2 linked regions of the Neurospora crassa OR74A genome follow. The protein of the gene in region 2 purifies or fractionates together with the protein of the main gene of each other region. This does not show direct contact. Links are inferred from orthologs where the notes say so. Each region holds a gene or a part of one and is shown on either strand. Other genes may lie near its edges.

Region 1 (5,939 bases), on a different chromosome or scaffold from region 2:
ACATTTCAGTCCAGAAAGCTGTGCGCTCTGGTTGGGACTTATCGTCGGACAAGATACTATGATGCGGTATTGTCAGCTCGAAGTCTTTGCGCTTGACCGGGGTTACTTACTCGGTCAAGTATGCCTTCCTAAGAACAATATTGCAGAGCCGCGTTATCATCGTCACACCGAGGTATGCCTACGGAGATATTAGCGCTGAGTAGGCATTTGCTTTCCATGTTTCCTCCCTCTAACTCACCAGGTCCTGGCCTTCCTGCTTGTAGCCCTTAAGGAGAAAGCTACTCCACCGATGATCATTAGGCAAACCCCTCTCCCATTCCGCAAGGCGGTTGACCATAATTGCATACTCGCTTTCTGGCTCCCATGGATCCGTAACTTTGTCGTTGCTAAGCACCCGGCGGGAGATCGCTCCCCAGAAGTAATGGGCCTGGATAAGCGTTGCAAATAGGGACCGACCCTCGTCGGTAACAAGACTAGGGTTCTCCAAGGCTGGAGGAGTGTCCTGGAGCGCTGCTCTCGACTTTGGAATTTGACCAGTGGCGAAGTCCTTCTCGTTGCAAGGCAATAATGCTGTGATATCGCTGGCTGATAGAGATACGGGGCACCGCGGACCCGAATGGAGGTTGTCCTGACTATGGAGCATCCACTATCATTCAATTAGTCACAGACCATTTCGCAATCCCATCATTCCATCTAATGTAAGGATGAGCCACGTACCAAGGTGCGGCGGGCGGACTCTGCCCTCATGATTAGTTCCTCCGAGGGGTTTTCCGGCAGCCTGTAGGTCTCCTCCCTATGCAGTCCCATCAATGTGGCCATACGCATAGCAATTGCCATGTTGATCGAGCTCTGTTGTTTCAAGCTGCTTCCCTGCTGGGCAATACTCAACAGGTAGAACGCCTGGCATCTCTCCAGGTCCGGATCTCTATACAGTTCGCGGCAAGCAACCTCGGAGGCGCGTTCCATAAAGACTTCAGCAGCCTGAACAGCACCGCCAAACCGATCCACCAATGTTGGCGTCAGTCGGGCCGAAATGCTCAAGATGCTCAGCAGGAAAAACACGCTGACAGATCGGTGGTTCGTCCGTAGCCGCTCGGGAAAGTGTTGCTTGTGGATGAAGCCCAACTGGAAGTAGTGAGCTGTGAACTTGTGGACGGCTTCGACTATTTCAGGCAGCGGCGGCAGAAGATCCCATTCATCGTAGCCCTTGATAGGTCTGGGCACCGCCGGCGCTGGTGAGCGTACGGGTGCATCGAGGATTTCGCGCCGGACCTTTGCGGGGTCTCGTTTGGTCGCCTTGTCGGCTCTGATTCGAGGATGTCGGTATTCGCGATCTTGATCGGGCTGGCCACGGACGGGGAACGTACTGGGGAGAAGGTTTGTGATTTTAGCAAATGATCAGAGTAGAGACACCCTTGCGACAGGGCCTGCATGCATCATGGGAACTCTTACCAGTCAGCCGGACCAAGTCCAGCATCGCGGCAAGCCTGGCAGGGAGGTTGGGCCTTGTCATGGAGACATTTGCTTCTCATACGGCGGCATCTGTAAAGGGCAACACGTTAGTCCTTCGCTTTCACCTGGGTACTCGCGTGACGTTTGGATGATGCCAAGTCAATCCGGCAACTGTTCACATACCTTCGGCAAGCGATTGGAGCTCTTCGCTTGATGACAGGTGCTGGAAGGGCTAAGCCAGGAACTTGTCCAGGAGTTCCGACAGAGACTGGGCTATTGACCTGGCTTGGAGGTTGGCCGGGAAGAGGAAATTGGCCAGGGATTTGACCAGAGAGCTGTTGCCCGTTGATCTGATTGACCTGGGGTTGCAGTTGTTGCGGTTGCTGCTGTTGCGGTTGCTGCTGCTGCTGCTGCTGTGGCTGACTATTGGTATTTGGCACGGGGCTTGACAAATCGAGTTGCATCGGAGTCTGAGGGGAGTCCTGGTCCTGGTGCATCTCGACGTCTTGTTGTGGTTGAGGCGACGCGGCCGGCATCGAAGCCATCGCCATGGGAGCTGGCGATGGCGATTGCTCGGCCTGCTTCATCTCCTGGTCCATCTTGCCGGCAACGACGCGCGCGGCGCTTTGGGGCCCGTAGGAGGATGAGGAGGATGCCTAGGGCAAAAAGAATAAAAAGATGCGATAATGGGACGCCGGGACGGCACAACGGCGATGTTTTAGTTGCAGATGACAGACCAGAAAAGGTAGCTGTTGAAGCTGTAGATTTGCCGGAGCGGCTTCTTGTTGGTTGCGGGGCGGATGATTTGATTGCCGGCAGGGCAAGATATGGTCCAATCTCTACCGCCAATTGCCCTGGATATGTGCTGCACAGGGCAGGCCCAGATGGGTGAAAATCGAATGCCGCGCGCCTGAATTTGAACCCTCGGGGCAAAACTTTCGGTCGGCACCCACCCGCCCGTCGCCAAATAGCAGCCCCAGGACCCACACTCGGAAGACGAACGACGGGACAGTGAGAGTTCGAATCCAAAACAAACTCGATTTTGATTGACAGCAAAGACTGTGGTGGAAATCACTTGTTATCGTAAAGAGGCTTGAGAATCAGCCCTGCGAAAGAATGGATAAGGTGGGACCTTCAGTACCAGTTTGAAGATTGTCTGAACTGAACTGCAGGCATCACAAGTAGCACTTCCGCCATAAAAGAGCTACACGTGATTGGTCGCGTGCCGTATAGTTGATGTATAAAAGTGTGCAGGTAGCGGGCACTATCACTTGACAACACTCAACAGCCCTAGGGAGGAAGTTATAGTTTACATTGAGCCTAGCAACTGTCTTTTTATTTTCTTTTTTCTTTTTTTTTTTTTCTGCTTCGCTGTTTCTACTAGACAAGAACACTTCTTCTGATATCATATCGTGTTAGCTTCATCAAACAAGAGCCTTGTTCTTGCCGTAGCCAACCCATATACGACTGTGAGGGTACATGTGAATGATCCCCCGAGAGAAAGTCCAATATTCCCGCCTGTGCCTTGACATACTTCCTTCTCCTGTTGAATGTTAAATGTTACATGTTGTTGTAGGTAGTTCGGACAAGTGGTGTGAACAAAGGTAAGTAAAATATAAGTGGGAGTGGGAGTATGCATAACAAGGGATTGTTTGTTTTGAGGGAATGGTTTCTTTCTTCGTGTGTCTCTACATGATTGTGCGTTCTGCGTCGGATCGCCCTATGATGCACTTCCTTCTTCCTTTTGCCTTGGATATCAAAGGGAAACGTGTGCTACAGGGTGACGCGCAGTACATGATAAATCTCTTCTCTCGTTTTCCTCCTTCTTCTCTATCGCTGACCCGAATAACGCCCAGGATTCGTGTTACCAAATAACAAACCAGTGCTAGCAGCCGCGCGCAAGGGGGACGAGGGATATAAAGGTGTGTTGGTGCTGTGTGAAGTGTCATTTAAACGAACATGATGTATAAATTAGTGCAAAACCATCGAGGGGGCTTGTATCACATCATTTGTGCATCGTGTTACTGGAGGGATTGGGTGTAGTGTCGTGGAATCGTGTCGCGTTCGTCAGGGATTTGCTGCTAAGGGGCTTGGGGGTAGTGATGGGATAATGCATCTTCCAAAGCGACTACGGGAGTGAAGTGCTTGAAGTGACGCTAGTGGCCCTGAGGGCCGACGAGCTGAGAGAGCACCTTTGGGATTGTCCTCAGGGCTGAGTGAACCTCATGTCTGGATCATGCCCTGGGTGCCGCTGATCTGACGCTTGACCTGCTCGCGCGCCCACCGAGCAGTCTCAATGGTACGCTGCTGGAACTCGCGGTTCGACCGAGTCTCCTTGATCATGGCGGTGATCCAGTCCTGACGGAAGACTTCGGCCAGCTGGCCGTTGGGATATGCGTCCGCAAGATCACTAGATAATCGTTAGTGTTTCTATAATGTGTTGTCTCAACATCATGCCAACTTACCCGATGACACCCATAGCGGCCCGCATAAGGGCTTCGCTGCGGTTAGGATCCTGAGCAATAGTGTTAAGAAGCTCAAAGATCGACTGAACGTAGGGCTCGAGAACGTTGGCTGTACGACATTTGTCAGTCTCTGCAAAGCGCGCTTAAGACCGAGGAAACTTACTCTTATCGCTGCCCTTCATGGCACCAATGATGCCACCCCAGGCGTCCATAATACCCTCACGGAGAGAGATCACATAGTCGAACATCTCATAAGAGCCCTCGGCGGAAGCGGTAACGGTAGCAGCCTGCTGAAGGACAACAGCAACAACCGAGAGGTAAGCCTCAAAGTGACCGCCAATAGCGCCAGCAATATCGCCGAAGCACTGCAAGATTGCAGGCTTGAACTGGTTGGCAAGAGCAGTGCTCCTAAGATTGTTAAGGAGATAGTTCATGAACTGATCGCAGTATGGCTGGCTGCGTTCGCCCATGGAGCGAGTGATATCGCTGACCAGGCCGATAGCCATGGAGCAGAGACTCGGCTCTTCCTGGTTTGCCAGGGCATTGTACAGGAAGGGAGCAAAAGCGTCCATGTACTTGGCAAAGTCCTCCTCCATGGCGTTCGCAAGGCCGCTGATGGCTGCGAAGACACCTTCAGGAACAGCCGACTTGCCATTAATAGTGTTCAAGAGCTGAAGCAGAACCTGCATGATGCGGTCGCCTTGGGGAGTGATCTCCTTGTCCAGGCGCTGAATGATTGCCTGGAGCACGGTGCAGAGACTGGTCTGCATATCCTCGAGAGTGATCTTGTCTTCAACGCTGACAACTTGGGATTGCAGGGGCAGTGTTTCCTCCAAACGTTGAAGGATAACATCCGAGAGGGATGCAACAGCAGGGAGACTGTCGTTGGCAGCATTCTGCACAAACACGTTAAGAACCTCGTAGGCAGCGGTGCGAACTGTAGCGTCACCGTCAAGCTTCGCCGTCACGGCGAGCAAGTTGGTCACGCACTGGTTGAAGTGAGGAGTAATGGGGTTTTGCGCGGCACCATATTCGCCGCCAAAACGCTCCGCGAGGTTCATCAAAGCCCAGCAGCAGGACGCGGCCATTCTGGGGCTGCTCATGAGGCCGTTGAACAGGGAGGTGATCAAGGGGTCAAGGTGAACAGCAGGATCGATCACTTCCGAGCAAGTTTCTGTAATTCTGCCAAGAGCGTATGCGGTCGAGTCACGAACATGTAAAGAGGGGTCCTCCATCATGCCGATCAAGGGCTGCATGCCAGACTTGACGATAGGCTCAAGCAACTTCTCCTCGGGGCCGTCCATCATGGCACCGAAAGCAGAAACAGCGGCATCACGGAGGTGCCAGTCGTCAGCGCGAAGGTTGGCTTCAACGAACTGGATGACTGGCTGGATGATTGCCGCACCAACAGCCTGAGAATAGAGTTGGAGACACTGGTACGCGGCACGCGAAATGTTGTACTCGTCATCAGCCGCATCCTCATCTTGCTTGGTGAGGAGCTGTAGGAGCACAGGGACCACTTCGAGTGTAGCAACGCGGGCGAAGTTGTAGAAGGGGCGCATCTGCTCCGAGCTCTCAACCTGCAGCTGTTGTTAGTGGGATTCTTGCTCAACCAAGGTGGCAGTGAAACGTACCTGAGCATTGTCATCTTCGATAGCAATCTCCTCTTCGCAAACGGTACTCCAGAACTCAACTGCAAGCTTGGCCACATCCTCGTCATCGCTCTTCATGCCCAGGATGGTGAGACCAAACAAAGCCTTTTCCATGTAGAAGCGCATGTTCTCGTAGTAGAGGGCCATGATGCGGTTGAGGCAACCATAAGCACCCTGCTGTATCCGAGAGTCCTCGGCCTGTGTCGCCTCGCAAATAACCTGCATAATGTAGTTGCGCTCGCCCTCATGCTTAAAGTTGTTACCGACAAACTCAAGAGAGTCGCCGAGGGCGGTAATGGCGGCAAGTCGAACTTCGCGGTTGGGCTCCTCCTTACGAGCACCTTGGACAACAGCTGTGAGGATGGCATTG
Region 2 (7,701 bases):
GAGAATGAACACAGCAACCATCCCAATCTTGCTAGCCACCCACAACGAATGCCTTACCAAGTAGATATAGGGAAGGCAGTAGAATGCATCCCCTTTTGCTTCAAGCCATAGCTGTTCCGTTTTATGCATATCGGGGCTGTCTTGATCGGACTCCACCCTCTTGCTACCTACAAAAGTAATTATCGAATCTACCTGAAGCTGTCCATGTGTTTAACTTTGATTTCTGCTTATACAGGACATCACCTTCGAAAATCAATGCTTCCTCTTCCATTATCTCTCCCAGTATCCAGCGTAGGTCGGACTGAACAGCTCGAGCTCCGTCTTCTCCTAGCCCTTTGCTCACTAGGATCCAACGGCCTCAGGCCACTTGTCTTTGCAAACAAGTTTAGGATGTCCGTCAACGACACCACGCCTGTCAAGCGCCCTGACAGTCCAGCACCCGGCAGCGCCGAAGCCGGAACCGAGGTGAATGGCCCCTGTGCTGGCGGCGACTGGGGCGTCGACGTTGTGATGGCACCTGGTGGAGGAACGACAACAGCTGCCGATCCAGGGGCAGGACTGCCCGCTCTGCCGGGCGAAGCAACCGGAGGTGATAACGTTGAAAGGGGAGGCAAGCTGGAAGCCTGCAGTAAAGGTGTAGCCGGGGCGCTAGGCGACGGCGAAGCGGACTCGACTACCCACATACGATGAGACTGCGTTGCGACCAGCTTGGCGACCGTGTGAGCTAGGGTAGAATACGGATTGACGTAGAAAACTGGGAAGGAGTCACGGCCATGCTCGACACCACGTTCGGAGAGAATGACGCTGACGAAGTGCATGCATGAAGCCTTGAGCAGGGGCAGACTGTTGGCGTTGGTTAGGAGGCGCACGTCAACGGTGGAAATATTTCCCACAACGTTGTGGCCGTTATCCACAACCGCGACAGATGTCAGCCCCTCGGAGCTCATAAGAAAGAGAGCATCGGCAAGAGGAGCGTCAGCGCTAGGAGATGTTAGCCAAGCGACTTCAGGGCACCGGGCGATTTAGGTACACAAAGCGGAGGTGGCTTACTTGATGGCGATGATTTGCTGCGTCCCGATTTGAAGATCACGCAGCGGGATCGTGTAAAGACGATCAATTAAGGGGAAATTGACGGCCTCGTACCAGAAGAACTCGAGTAGGCGCAACTGGCTCAAGATACCCACCACTTCTGAGTCCTTATTGGTGACCAGAACGCGGTGAATGCCGCCTCCAAACACTTCAATGGCTTTATCGAGAGTGGAATCGGCTGGGAGCTTCACCAGTTCCTCGTGGCGAAAGATGGGTTGGAGGGTACGTAACGGGATCTCTTCCTGAGACTGCGCTTTGACCGAAATATCTGTATATAGAGCGACCTGTTCTTCTTCGGGCTTTGCCAGGCCTACGACGGCCAAAAGGTAGGCATTGAGATCGCTGTGGTCAAAGGTAGAAACGGCTTCCTTCGAAGACGAGTTCTGGCGGACAAGGACCACATTGTTCGGACTACTTTGAAACAGGGTCTGGACAGTAAGTAACGATATCAGCAAGGTCCAAACCAACGACGAAGATTGGCACAGAGGCACTGTCGCACCTTGGTGGCCTCTTGGATACTAGTGTCCAGTTCCGCCCATTTGACTTCATCCGGCTGCAATAACTCGCCAATGGCAATGTCCCGCCAGTCACGGCCGACATAGCGAGGGTTTTGATGGCGGTTTGGCGGTGGGTGGCTCATCAGGTCTTGAATTGCTTGCTGTGTGAAGGAGGGGTGTCTCTGAGTACGTGGCGAGGGGGGCGGATGACGTTGGTTCTCAGCGAAGCTCTGGCGATGCGAATGTGACGAAACATTGCTCGTTGTTTTGGACAAGGGGTTGCCGCCTTGAGAGCTGGAGCGTTCTGGAGGAGACGGGAGCGAGGCGCCGGACAGCGCAGTGTCAGAGACCGGTAAGCCCGGGTTGGCGTTGGCCAATGTGCCAGGAGAGGGCGATTTTGTGATTTCTGATGAGGACTCCATCGAAGCTTCCGAGATGTGGTGATGGTGTTATTGTTGATGTTGTTGTTGCTGGATTTCTCGGGTAATAATGCACGCAACTTGAAGCACCCGCGGCGGACACGGCGATGATGCGGATAAGACCGAAGAAAGAAGAGAGCTTAGGGTAGTTCAGTTGGAGATGGTTCACGACAGATCGATGCGCGGAGAGAAGCTACTACTGGTACTGTATCTTTGCCGAAAGTTCAAGGTGACCGCTGCCGTCGTAGTCGGTTCCGCTGTTCGGAAGGTACAGGTATGCTTCGTATGTATGTAGATGTAGATAGCGTTTCACTTGAGCTTGTCTGCAATCTCGGGGTCGTTGCCGCCGCCGTCTTTGCGCAACCGAGTATGTGGTAGGTAATGGTGGAAGTGTATCTGAAATTCTGAAGTATCTGGCAGGAGAGTGTAGTAGAGGTAGTATGGCGGGAATCAAACACTCAGTGATAGGTAAAGTCGAGATCAAGACTACGAGAAAGATTCAGATCGGCTTGTTGCGACTGCCAACGAAACTGACGAAGCAAGAAAAGCATTGACCAGTCGAGAGCAACAGGAACCTATGGAAACGTCCGCCTGATTCTCAAGTCCAGAAACGGGAGAGCAATGACGATGGTCCAGCCGCGGCACGTACCTATCCTGAGCATACCTACCTTAACGTGATGGTGCGGGGTTGCCCCTGTCTAGCCTATGCGCGGGAAGCACTAGCCTCCCTCTCGTCACTGACTGTCAGGCTACTCTCACACTAAGGCGTGCGGATAGTCTGTACACAGGTAGTGTCCGGCGATAAGGTCACCTGCAGGGCAGGACAGGGCTGAGGCTGTCACCTGTTGACCGTTGCTGCGCTGCACCCAGAGGCGATCAGGTAGGCAAGTAGAGGTAGGCTGAGGTGCGAACTGAAGGCAGCCTGGCGCAATTAGGTTTTTGTCGATGAAAGTCCATCCATATCCAGTGGGGGAGGGAACTCCATGGGGTTAGACCTAGATCAGGCCTATCCACCATTTTCTGTCACCTACATTTCATCTGGGCCTTCACCTCCGAGTCCTGCTTCCCTTCCATGTTGTTGATCATGATCATCACAGACGCCCTACCCACCCGGCAGTGGAAGCCTGGGCACACAAGTTGTGGAAGCTGGGGCCGCCCTGGAGCTTTCCATAGGTTGGAGGAAGGAACGGCCAGAACCGGTGGCCATCTCAAGATGCCACTGCCCCACTCCGTAGTTTTAGCGGACCTCTGCCGCTTGATAGTTATTTACTAGGTGATCACATAGCAAACGGTGCTGTGCTCTAACGGGATGTTAGCGACGCGGCGGGGGGAACCTGGGCGCTTATGGGGTAGGTACCTACCTCTACCTACCTAGGTAACGGGAGGTAGAGGTAGAATGTCTGCCTGCCCTATGCTACCTTTAGGTATGCCGAGAGGCACCTACTTTTGTACGCTACAGTGCCGTGTGCCCCTCGGCCCCCTCCATTCATGAGCTCGGGTTGACCCAGACCCAATCAAAAAAAAATATTGTCCATTCGGTTTTCATACGGTCCATGCCCCCCCCCCTCCCACTCCCCTCGACCCTTTCGAGCCAGTCTAGAGCCATCAAATCACCAATTCTCGACAATCCAAATCCACCTTTGACTGGAGCAAAGTCGAGTTTCGGACGCGTCCTTTATCGCGACTTGAATTCATTCAAGTCTCGGTATCACTAACGGTCACCGTCGACGCCTGTCGTCAATCCATCATCAACTTGGCACTCGAGTTGCTTCTCCATCCGCACCGTTGCCGTGTCCACCTCAAGTCCGTCCTCCCTGGCCCGCCTTTTTCCCAGTCCTCATCCGTATCAGACTTTAGCGAGAGTTCTGATGTTGTTGTTGGGCCAACATCGTTAACCACGTTCCGCCTCTTCCAGAGCCCACCAACCGACGATAACCCAGGGTCACACATTGTGTGTAAGGAGTGCAGTGTGCTTTGCGATTCACTCTTCTGCTCCCCGACCCCACGGCACCAACTAGACACAACTAGCACTCTACTTCGCAACATACATCATTCATCATGTCGGTCCTTCCCGCCGATGTTACGGCCGAGCTGAGCCAGCTGCTCCAGGCTCTTCAGTCGGCCGACAACAACATTCGCTCTCAGGCTGAGGAGCACTTGCAAAACAACTGGACCAGCTCCCGGCCTGGCCTCCTCTTGATGGGCTTGGCTGAGCAGATTGCTGGATCAAGCGACGCTTCGGTATGGCTTCTTCGCAACCCTCTTTTGCTGGGCCGGTCGCCTCAGCGTGTCACTGCTCACATATAACTCACTCGTTTTTGAACCTTGCAGGTCCGTTCTTTCGCCGCCGTCATTTTCCGCCGGATAACACTCAAAACTCGCAAAGCCACGCCGACCTCCGAGGCTGCTACCGATATGTTTCTTTCCCTTGACAACCACGAGGCCGTCGCTGTCCGCAACAAGATTCTCGAGGCCATCCTTGCCGAGACAGACAGAAACGTTCGCAACAAGATTGGTGATGCGGTTGCCGAGGTTGCTAGGCAATATTATGACAATGACCAAAATTGGCCAGAACTACTTCAGACTCTCTTCAACCTCAGCCAAGCACCCGATGCTGGCAAGCGCGAGACGGCCTTCCGCATTTTCCACGCTACCCCTAGCATCATTGAGAAACAACATCAGGATGCCGTAGCCATGGCATTTGCCAAAGCATTCACGGACGAGTCGGTTGCCGTCAGGCTTGCTGCTATGGAGGCTTTTGCGGCCTTTTTCCGCAGCCTGGGAAAGAAGAACCAGGCCAAGTACTTCGAGCTCCTTCCTCAGCTCCTCAACATCCTTCCTCCTATCAAGGACTCGCAAGATTCGGACGACCTTAGCCAGGCCCTCATCGCTCTCATCGACTTGGCCGAAAGTTCCCCCAAGATGTTCAAGACCGTCTTCTCGACTCTTGTTGGATTCAGCATTTCGGTCATTCAAGACAAGGAGCTCACAGACCTCTGCCGACAAAATGCGCTGGAACTTATGGCCACCTTTGCCGATTACGCTCCGTCCATGTGCAAGAAGGATGCTTCTTATACCAAGGATATGATCACACAGTGCCTTAGCTTGATGACGGATCTTGGTGAGGATGACGATGATGCGGCCGAATGGCTTAGCTGCGACGATGTAAGTTGTTGGGTCACTTGTAACTTCTGTGGGGCCCATACATTGGCTCTGTGCTAATGGCGTTTATGCAGCTCGACACCGACGAGAGTGACTCCAACCATGTCGCAGGTGAGCAGTGTCTCGATCGTCTGGCTAATAAGCTCGGAGGTGCCGCTATTCTCAGTCCCATCTTCGGCTGGTTGCCTAGCATGATGAACTCCCCGGCTTGGAGAGACCGTCACGCTGCTTTGATGGCTCTGTCCGCCATTTCAGAAGGCTGCCGCGAGGAGATGATTGGTGAACTGAGGCAGGTCCTTGACTTGGTTGTCCCGGCGTTAAAGGACCCCCATCCTCGTGTCCGTTGGGCTGGCTGCAATGCCCTCGGCCAGATGAGCACCGACTTTGCTCCTACTATGCAGAAGCAGTACTACGATATTGTGCTGTCGGCCATTGTGCCCGTCCTTAACGCACCCGAGGCACGGGTCAAGTCACATGCTGCTGCGGCGCTTGTGAACTTTTGTGAGGAGGCTGACAAGAGTGTCCTTGAGCCTTATCTCGACAACCTTTTGTCGCACTTGTTCCAGCTTCTTCAGAATGAAAAGCGTTACGTCCAAGAGCAGGCTTTGTCTACCATCGCCACCATCGCTGACGCCGCAGAGCAGGCATTTGCCAAGTACTATGATACTCTCATGCCCCTGTTGATGGGAGTGTTGCAGCGCGAGAATGAGAAGGAGGTCCGCCTCCTCCGTGCAAAGGCGATGGAGTGCGCCACCCTGATCGCCCTTGCGGTTGGAAAGGAGCGTCTCGGTGCGGATGCCATGGCGCTAGTGCAACTTTTGGCCAGCATCCAGCAAAACATCACTGATCCCGACGATCCTCAGGCCCAGTACCTCATGCACTGCTGGGGAAGAATGTGCCGTGTGTTGGGTAGGGATTTCCTTCCCTACTTGCCCGAGGTTATGCCGCCACTCCTCGAGCTTGCTAGCGCCAAGGCCGATATCCAGCTTCTGGAAGACGACGAGCAGATTGAGCAGCTACAGACCGAGGAAGGGTGGGAGCTTGTCCCGCTCCGTGGCAAGACTATTGGTATCCGTACCAGCACCATGGACGATAAGAACATGGCCATCGAGCTGCTCGTGGTGTACGCTCAGGTCCTTGAGGGTGACTTTGCGCCTTATGTCGCAGACATCATGGAGAAGATTGCTCTTCCTGGTCTGGCCTTCTTCTTCCACGATCCTGTCAGGTACATGTCTGCGAAGCTAGTTCCGCAATTGCTCATTTCATACAAGAAGCAGTACGGTCCCGGCTCCAACGAGCTCAAGGGCTTGTGGACCAGCACCGTCGTTCAGCTCCTCGACGTTCTTAGCGCCGAGCCTGCCATTGATACGCTCGCGGAGATGTATCAATGCTTCTATGAGTCCATCGAGGTCATCGGCACTGCCTGCCTCGATGAGACGCACATGGGCCGCTTCATCGACGGTGTCCACTCCACTCTTGAGGATTACAAGGATCGGGCAGCCGCTCGTGAGGAGGAGCAAGGAGGTGAAGATGGCGAGGACGAGTCGGAAGAGATGCAGATGGCCATTGAGGATGACCAGACTCTCCTTTCGGACATGAACAAGGCGTTCCATGCTGTTTTCAAGTACCACGGCGCAAGCTTCTTGAGCGCTTGGAGCCGCCTGCTTCCCACCTACAGCAGCTTCTTGAGCTCGAATGATACCACCCAGCGACAGTGGGGACTGTGCATTATGGATGATGTTCTAGAATACTGTGGTGCTGAGAGCATTCACTACGCCCAGTATATCTCGGAGCCTCTGCTCCTCGGCTGCCAGGATGCCTCTCCCGCTATTCGTCAAGCGGCTGCGTATGGCATCGGTGTGGCTGCCCACCATGGCGGCCAGGCTTGGGCGCCGTTGGTGGGCCAAGCCGTCGAAGTTCTCTTCAAGGCTACGCAGATCCCAGATGCGCGCAACGAGGACAATGTGTACGCTACGGAGAATGCCTGCGCTGCCATCGCCAAGATTCTGCATTTCAACTCTTCTCAAGTCGCCAACCCCGACCAGGTTGCGACACAGTGGTTTGAGACTCTGCCGGTCTTGAACGACGAGGAAGCGGCGCCCTATGCGTATGCTTTCATGACCCAGCTGATTGAAAAGTAAGTCTCTTGTCCTGACATGGCGAACTGGAAACGACTGACCCGCAAATAGGCAACATCCTGTCGTTATTTCGCAACCCGCTAAAGCTTTCTACTACGTCGCACAGGCGCTTGAGGTGGACGTTTTGAGCGGACAGACCCTCGCGCGCGTGATTGCCGCTGTCAAGAGCCTGTTGCAAGCAACCGGTACTTCGCCCGACCCCGTACTGCAGCAATTTGGCCCCGAATCTCAGCAGTTGATTCGGGAGCGGTTTAGCAGTTAAGAAGTGTCGGAGGTAGTGGCTGTGGAAGAGAGATGACATCGCTGATGGACGTAGGAGAAGGAAAAGCAAAACGTCGACTTAGGAAGATGGTGATCTACTTGGAAATCAGGATATAGATGGCATGGAACCAGAAG

The links. Proteins that work in one complex are often made in the same cells at the same time.
Region 1: the proteins of NCU02357 (region 2) and NCU02011 purify together in Saccharomyces cerevisiae (affinity purification with mass spectrometry; 4 studies listed by BioGRID, with this or other methods). This does not show direct contact. The link is inferred for Neurospora crassa OR74A from reciprocal best matches to the Saccharomyces cerevisiae genes PSE1 and KAP95.

The regions. Positions count from the first base shown.
Region 1 is NC_026501.1:1,677,109-1,683,047, forward strand, and holds the end of NCU02011 (importin subunit beta-1), read right to left. Parts: coding exon 5,552-5,939; intron 5,498-5,551; coding exon 4,081-5,497; intron 4,027-4,080; coding exon 3,918-4,026; intron 3,863-3,917; coding exon 3,676-3,862; 3' UTR 2,747-3,675; downstream 1-2,746. Other genes in the region: NCU02012 (hypothetical protein), read right to left, coding at 1-56, 111-178, 239-646, 718-1,366, 1,453-1,542, 1,636-2,051. UniProt on the Saccharomyces cerevisiae protein: Importin beta subunit that functions in nuclear protein import through association with the importin alpha subunit, which binds to the classical nuclear localization signal (cNLS) in cargo substrates.
Region 2 is NC_026507.1:2,755,707-2,763,407, forward strand, and holds the start of NCU02357 (importin subunit beta-3), read left to right. Parts: upstream 1-3,562; 5' UTR 3,563-4,063; coding exon 4,064-4,246; intron 4,247-4,336; coding exon 4,337-5,170; intron 5,171-5,241; coding exon 5,242-7,304; intron 7,305-7,356; coding exon 7,357-7,567; 3' UTR 7,568-7,701. Other genes in the region: NCU02358 (SDS23), read right to left, coding at 240-981, 1,051-1,517, 1,589-2,008. UniProt on the Saccharomyces cerevisiae protein: Functions in nuclear protein import as nuclear transport receptor. Serves as receptor for classical and arginine/glycine-rich nuclear localization signals (cNLS and rg-NLS) in cargo substrates.